Callithrix jacchus: one gene and its partner. The protein of the gene in region 2 binds, or shares a complex with, the protein of the main gene of each other region. Links are inferred from orthologs where the notes say so. Each region holds a gene or a part of one and is shown on either strand. Other genes may lie near its edges.

What was found.
Region 1: TATA box-binding protein-associated factor RNA polymerase I subunit A (region 2) and TAF1D share a complex: the UniProt entries of both Homo sapiens proteins name them as parts of the transcription factor SL1/TIF-IB complex. The link is inferred for Callithrix jacchus from reciprocal best matches to the Homo sapiens genes TAF1A and TAF1D.

The regions. Positions count from the first base shown.
Region 1 is NC_133511.1:46,621,989-46,626,545, reverse strand, and holds the start of TAF1D (TATA box-binding protein-associated factor RNA polymerase I subunit D), read right to left. Parts: upstream 2,911-4,557; 5' UTR 2,811-2,910; exon of another isoform or gene 2,700-2,810; intron 1,791-2,699; 5' UTR 1,686-1,790; intron 720-1,685; 5' UTR 695-719; coding exon 627-694; intron 1-626. UniProt on the Homo sapiens protein: Component of the transcription factor SL1/TIF-IB complex, which is involved in the assembly of the PIC (preinitiation complex) during RNA polymerase I-dependent transcription.
Region 2 is NC_133520.1:17,638,083-17,641,696, forward strand, and holds the end of TATA box-binding protein-associated factor RNA polymerase I subunit A, read right to left. Parts: intron 1,129-3,614; coding exon 1,016-1,128; 3' UTR 677-1,015; downstream 1-676. UniProt on the Homo sapiens protein: Component of the transcription factor SL1/TIF-IB complex, which is involved in the assembly of the PIC (pre-initiation complex) during RNA polymerase I-dependent transcription.

The DNA of each region.
Region 1 (4,557 bases), on a different chromosome or scaffold from region 2:
AAGATACAAAAAATTAGCTGGGCATGGTGGCACGTGCCTGTAATCCCAGATACTCAGGAGGCTGAGGCAGGAGAATTGCCTAAACCCAGGAGATGGAGGTTGCGGTGAGCCGAGATCGCACCATTGCACTCCAGCCTGGGTAACAAGAACGAAGCTCCATCTCAAAAAAAAATCATGTATCTTTCAAGATAATGTATGAGCTCAACCAAGACTGTATGATTCACTGCTAAAAACGCCTGAGTAAAAGAGAGCCTGCCAAAAATGAAAAAAAAAAAAAGATAAAACGAAAATAAAAAACAAAAAAAATACAAAAAAACACAGCCTGCCATACAAAAACAGGATGATGTAGTCCAGAAGAGACCCAAAGAATAAACTTTTTCTCTAAGAATGTGTCCCATTAGAATATATTCATTTTTTAAATTAAAATTATTTGCAATAGTATTATATCAATCTATATAAACTAGATAAACATGGAAGGTCAGTGAAATCTGGTTTTCCTTCTTTCCCAATTCCCGAAAATTATCTTCACTGTCATTCATTATATATAATAATTTAGTTTCTCAAAGTAATTCAGATATAATAAATATGACTGGATCTACTCAGTTCTCCAGTAAAAACCCACTTACCTTTGATTTGCAGGTTCCATAGCATCAGATGTCACATAGTCAAGAGAATCGATTCCTGATTTATCCATCAGTTGTTCTTTGTTTTAAAGTTTTCTGAAATTGTGAAATTTAGTAAATGTGACAAAGCTTCCCTAAATATTGACACGGTATCTACTATAATGTTCAACACAGTCAGACTATGCCATTCATTTTGGACAAAATCATTTACCAGGCTTAAGCTGCTTATCCACTTCAGATCAATTTCTATATAAAAAAAAAATCCAGAAATTCTATTTCCAGATTTTCAGTTTTTACCCTCTAAATCTATTCAATGAAACAAGATTCCAAAAAAGACAAGGTGGACAAAAGCCTCTTTCAATATGAAGTTTTATCATTAGCCACATATTAACATATAATTACCAACACAGTATTAATGTACAATTAAAAGCCATTTTCCTACATCGAAGGGGAATTGCTAAGGCAAAATGTGCCCTATATAATAAACCAGGAAAACGATCTCCATTCAATAGACCATTTTAAACTCCTGATCAAATTCAATAGACCATTTTAAATTCTAAGATTCCTCATTCATTCCTAGATTCATTTAAGTAACTTAATTTCGTCATACTGTATCTTTGCCATTATTGGTGGAAACTGACAAATTCTGAATTCTCAACCTTTTTCGATAAACTATCATAATTCTGTCTCTTCATCTCCATAGTAGAGTATACAACATACAAAAAAAAAAAAAGGCAACATACAAAAAAAAGAAAACGATTCCTTCTTGTAAGAAAAACAGGCTGGTCAGGATGGCTCATGCCTGTGTAACCCAGCACTTTGGGAAGTCGAGGCGGGCGGATCACTTGAACCCAGGAGCTCAAGACCAACAAGACCCAGTCTCTACAAAAAATACAAAAATTAGCCATGTTGATGGTACGCGCCTATGGTCCCAATAAGGAGGCTGAGGTATTGAGGTAGGTCGATTACCTGAGCCTGGGAGATGGAGGTTGTTTGTAGTGGGCCTCAGCAACACAAGGAGCCCCTGTCTCTATAAAAAAAAAAAATTCTTAAAATACTGGCCTGGTGTGGTGGCCTGTGGCTGTGCTCCCAGCCATGCCGGAGGATCGCTTTGCAGTGAGCCGAGATTGCACCAGTGCACTCCAGCCTGGACGACAGAGCAAGACCCTATCTCAAAAAAAAAAAAAAAAAAAATGGGGGAAAAAAATAGGCTTGGCAACAAAAATAAACAATAAAGGTAACTACTTATTTCACTACTGTCTTAGCCTTAGTCATTCTCTTGTTTCATTCCGTAGTTTCTTAGGACCCGACATGAGTCACTACATATAAATCCTAGGATAAACTAGCAAAATATTTCAAATATAGGAAAACGATAAGGTCACCAAGAGCTCAGATTTCTTAAATGCCCAACGGACCCCTGTGGTAATTTCCTGTTAGAACATCTTGTAGTTTTAGTTTCTTAAGCACAAGATTCTACGAAGTCATTAAGTATCGAATGCTCAAAAACCGAATTCAATAATTTGGTCCCATGCATTAATGGTATACCTGCTTTTTTTTTTTTTTAAATAGGGATTATCAAAAGAAAGCTAGCTCAATAATCACTTTCTCTAAGTTTTTCGGAACACATCCTACTTAGGTGTCGATGCCTCTGCCGGGATTTAGCGATTCCTAAGAGGTCTCGTGGTCAGAGAGCGGCGCTTTACCCGGAGCTATCACCGTTATCACCAGCGCGTCTCTCCCCGCAGCGCCTTACCTCAAGGAAACCGGCACTAGTAATGGCTGTCTCCCATATATGAAGGTTAAATCATTTAAACCACGTAAGGAAGTTAAACTCGTTCACAACACATTTTAACACCTCCATCTCAAGATATAATGAAGGCCGCCCACACTACAGTTGCGTTTGTGTGGGCCTCCAGCCGCTTGGCGCTGAGGGGCCTGAGCTGCGAACCCTTCACCCTCTCCGCCCTACCTCCGAGACTCGATCCTCCGGACCAACGCTGGGGCCCCGAAAAAACCCATATCTGTAACGCCTCACCCGGCTGCCAGGGCCGGACGGCCTTGCCCACGTCTACCTACCCAAAACCGCCTCACGCCGGCCCTAACTGCGCACTTGGTGACTGTAACCCAGGCTTCTGGCCAAAAACCCGCGACTGGCCTGCTGCGTGAGTCCTGAAGACCTGCACTCACCAATATCCCGACCTCAGTTCTCCAACTCCCGAGAACCACCTTGCGTCTTCCAACCGCGCAGAAAAAAAGGGTGAGCAATCCCCGCGGCCCAGGTAATAGCGAGGCCGAAATCTCGCGATACAACTTAGCACCCGGGAAGAAGGCGAGCGACGGAAGGAGGACAGGAAGCAGGATAGCCATTTTTCTCGCCGCGCGGGGAGGAGCGGCTAACGTAGGCGGAGCTTCAGCTCGCGTTATCTGAGGAGGCGGGGTTGGCCGAAGCGAAGATCAGGACTCTGCTCTGTTGTGGGTTTCCGTGACCGATTCGGTGAGTGGAAGAGCCAAGAACATTTCGGCAAATAACAAAAAGAAAACATGAGGACAATTAGGAGTGGGTAAGAACTGCGAGAAGCCCGGTTTGTTTCCGGTGGCTCGCATTTGCTGAGCTGTCGCCTGGCTTTCTAAACCTGGTCCCGGGTGTGTGGCGAGGGTGGCGGGTGGGATATGTGCGTGTTTGGGTCTGCTTTTGCCTTCAGACACCTTTGTGTGTTAAAATACTGGGAAGGCTCATCCTTTGACCATGACTCCAGGTGTGTAACTTTTGGGCTGGACGCCAGTGTTACTCCATAGCACGCCCACTTTTGCACCTGTTTCGTGACCTCCCCTTTCTGCCTCCCGGAAGTTGGCTAACAAGTCACAAACGAGACCAGTAGAGGATTTCTTTTTCCTGAGGTTCCTTCTGCTCCCGCTCACCCCTAGTTCCTAAACCGGTTCCTGAGTAGTTTCGTGGGTTTTTTTTCCCTCCCAAAGTAATTTTAATGAACTGGTTTGATTTTTCTGCTTTCAAATCTTTTTTTCCTATGATAAACCAGTAAAGCCATTAGAGCTGTCTAGTCTTAATTTACAGTGCACGTCATTTTAGGATTGGACGGGCCTTAAAAGTAATCTGGTCTCTTTACCCTACTTTGTGCCATAAGTTGGACAATTCCAGGTATAAAAAGTCCAATCCCTTAGGGAGTCCTCTGCATTTGATCCACAGGGTCTGTGCCGTGACTAAGCTCCAGGACTGGTATGACATGTCACTCACTGCTGTACTCAACCAAGCCTAGCTGTAACATTTAACTCACAATGCAGAATCACTGAAATGTTTCACATTTTGTCTTTCTTTCTTTCCTTTTCTCCTTCCCTCCCTTCCTCCCTCCCTCCCACGCGCGCTCTCTCTCTCTTTCTTTCTTTCCCTTTTTTTTGAGACAGAGTCTAGCTCTGTGGCCTAGGCTTGAGGGCAGTGGCGGGCTCTCAGTTCACTGCAACCCGCCTCCCCAGGTCAAGAGGTCCATCCACCTCAGCCTCCCAAGTAGCTGTGACTGCAGGCATCCACCACCACACACGGCTAATTTTTGTACTTTTAGTAGAGACCAGGTTTCACCGTGTTGGCCAGGCTGGTCTTGAACTCCTGACCTCAAGTGATCCACCCGCCTCAACCTCCCAAAGAGCTGGGAATACAGGCATGAGCCACCGTGCCCGACCACATTTTGTATTTGTTTGTTTTACAAAGATAGAGTCTTGCCGCCTGTAATCCCAGCACTTTGGGAGGCCGAGGCGGGTGGATCACGAGGTCAAGATATCGAGACCATCCTGGTCAACATGGTGAAACCCGTCTCTACTAAAAATACAAAAATTAGCTGGGCATGGTGGCGCGTGCCTGTAATCCCAGCTACTCAGGAGGCTGAGGCAGGAGAATTGCCTGAACCCCGTAGGCGGAGGTTGT
Region 2 (3,614 bases):
CCCCTGGGTTCAGGCAATTCTGCCCCAGCCTCCTGAGTAGCTGGGATTACAGGCATGCGCCACCATGCCCAGCTAATTTTTTGTATTTTTAGTAGAGACGGGGTTTCACCATGTTGACCAGGATGGTCTCGATCTCGACCTTGTGATCCACCTGCCTCGGCCTCCCAAAGTGCTGGGATTACAGGGGTGAGCCACTGTGCCTGGCCTGATGTAAACATTTTAAGAGACAGTTTTGTATGAAAACCAATAATCATATCTACTCATTTCTTTTATCCTCACCTCCATTTTCTTAGAGATCAAGATAAATCATAATCCTATTTTATAGCTTTTGGCTAAAAAAGAGAAAAAGGAGAGGGGACACGTGAGTTCTAAGCATGTCTTAGACTGCTGCGCCAGGCACCAAAAAAGCCAAGAGCCCTTTAAAGTTAGGCCAGTGCCAGCTGAAAAAAGCCAGACTTCTACACTGCTGTGACCCAAACTAGTCCTCTAGAGTCAAAGGTCTCTCTCTAGCAGGAGGATATTTTGCCCCAAACTGTCAAGTCTTTATACTGAAAGAGAAAAAGTATTTTTCTAAATCCTTCTCTCTTTTCAAAATTCCTCAACAGAACTCATCACCAATATAGTTCTTCATGGTGGTATACCTAAAATGGATTAATTAGAATAAAAAGAATGCCAATTTATTTTACAGTACCACAAGTTGTATTTTATTACACAATAGCCAGAGGAAAATTATTTGCAAACAATAACTGCTGTAGAGCTATATTCTCTAAATATTTTTGAATTTCAAGAATTATTCCTTAACAAATGTAACATTTAATATTACAAAAAAGAAAACAGACATATTTACAAAGAGCAAAGGCAGTAATATTGTTTCTCTAGCTATAAATAAATTAAAATATATAAAAATAAGTTTTTTAGACTCATATAAGCTTCTTAATACACTACATAAATACATTCAGTAACTACTGAGCTGCTTACTGTGTAGCTACTACTGTGAAAAAACTAAAATCCAGCATCAGAGTCTTGGATTTACAATACTGTATTTCTTCACTGATCTCTTCATCCGCTTAATTTTCTTCCCTAAGATTTGGTGATCTTGCTTTAAAATATACCGAAAATATCTACAACCTAAAAAGTAAAGCAAAGTAAAATGTTTTAATACTCATCATTTTTTCTTAAGTATATTTCTACAGTTTTAAAATTTTGCTTTAACTTTGGCACATTAATGATTATGAAAATAAATTTGTAGTATCTACACCAATATGGCCTAAGCATATTCTCAGTTGTGTCCAATGACATATAGGTCCTCCTATATACAAAGATGTTTCTAATCTATCATAATTAAAGCACAGACTTTAATTTGTTATCTGCCTTCCTCCTACACCCTAGTGATGGTGACAGGCATATTATATACAGTCACGTATTAAATGAGCCTTCTCTAGAGGTGCATTTGTATAGATTCCTTCTCAATGTTCGCTTATAAATCAGCCAAAGTTACATTTATAACAGTAAGAAAGTTCTCTGTAGAAAATCTTGGTGTGAAGGATTAGAATAAACAAATCATAGGTTAGAAATGGTCAGACATTATCTACTCATTCTAGCCATGTAGCAAGCAGCAAAGTAGAGACTATGTATCTCTGACAGAGGTGCCTCATGCTCATTAGAAGTTCCACCTGCTCTTCACAGTCTTACAACACAAAAAACGGTCAAGTATTTGTCAAATACTTCAGACAAATGAATCATATTTCTGTAAGAAAAAGTAAACTGGATAATGAGTTCTTTTTTAGAGTTGGTCGATGGACAAGACCATAAATCACATGTGAAAAATTAATTTCACTACAGTTTCAGCTTGTATGCAATATCTTCTCGAGAAAATGCAAGAACATATACTGTACCTATAGTAACCATTTTTATCATTCTGGAAACTAGTATGCCAGAATTGCTAATATTTTGTTTTGTTGTTTTTCTTGAGATGGGGTCTCACTATGTGGCACACTCTGGTCTCAAAACTCCTGGCCTCAAGCAATCCTCCCACCTCAGTTTCCCAAGCAGCTAGGATTACAGGAGCACTGCATGCCACTGCACCCAGCTCAGAATTGGTAATGTTTTACTAGCTGAGAAGCAGTGGTGTCTGTAGTATTACTAAAATAATTTGTGTTTCTAAACATATCATACTCACCTTAGTAAAAAACAAAATACTTTGCACACAGAATTTTGCCTCTATCTACACAGAAAGCTGGGAATAACTTGGTTCCCACCCCAACAGAGAAAAAGCTTAATAAACCTCAAATATTAACTCTCGAGTCCACCGGAGAGCTGGAATCTCGCAGGGCAACCAAGTAGTTTCAATCCCAACAAGAAAAGGCCCCTCCAAGGAGAAATGAGTCTAGCTTGCTTTTAGCAGGGCATAGGAAGAAAGAGAGCCACCATACCCCACTCTAAGCACGAAGCAAAGGCAGACCACGACTAGAATTTGAATCCTATAAAGTAAGGTTGGTAACCACAGCAAGAAGAAAACCCAGCTTAACTAATAAATAGACTGACTCAACCCCATACTAACAGCTTGAGAGGAGATGTGGCTCTTGCCGGAGTAACTGATACCTGATATTTGTAAAGTACTTTAGAAATTATGAAGCATTTTGATGCGATGTTCACATGATACTTACAACAATAAGATGGGTATTACAATGCCCACTTCACAGAAAAAGCTCCTAAAAGCTAATTGCTTGACTAAGTTACATAGCAAGTGAGAGAACTGCAAAATTAACCCAGATCTTCCTACTCTGCTCAGAGACTTCTAGATAATTGTGCTAGATTGCCTCTCTACTCATAAGTAGAGAAAATGACAATCCAAATCACCTTTCTGTTCCTTGTCATCAGTGTATTAGAGAATTTTTTTCTTTTTTTTTTTAGAGATGTGGTCTCGCTATGCTGCCGAGGCTGGAGTGCAGTGGCTATTCATAGGCGCAATCCCACTACTGATCAGCACAGGAGTTCTGACCTGCTCCGTTTCCGACCTGGACTGGTTCACCCCTCTTTAGGCAACCTGGTGGTCCCCTGCTCCTGAGAGGTCACCAAATTGATGCCGAACTTATGCGGACATGCGATCAACATAGCACACTACAGCCCAGAACTCCTGGACTCAAGCGATCCTCCCAACTCAGCAGCCCGAATACAGGTACGCGCCACTGCGCCTGGCTTATTTTCTTCTTAATCAAATTTTATTACATTCACTGAGACTACTAATTCCAAAATAATAGAAACCATATTCAAAAGTGAGTTGGAGAATCTCTTCAGCAACCTTAAACTCCACAGCAATGGACTGCTTGCTAGTGGTCACTGAAGATTTACTTTCTTCATTTCTGCACACACTTTGTGGCAGTTTCATTTCAGTACTGGCCACCTTTTCATATTTCAGTGATACGAAGCAGGTAAGAGTTTTACCACCCAAAATATTCCTTTTCTTTGAAGAAAAAATCAATATCCCTTTTCTTTGAAGAGGATTTTTTTCATATGCTAGTAGGAGGTATTATATTCTCTTAAGTGGAGGAAATGTTTCACGCTTTCAGGAACAGGTAAGTAAATATTAGTATAATATGGAGCTATTAAAGAAC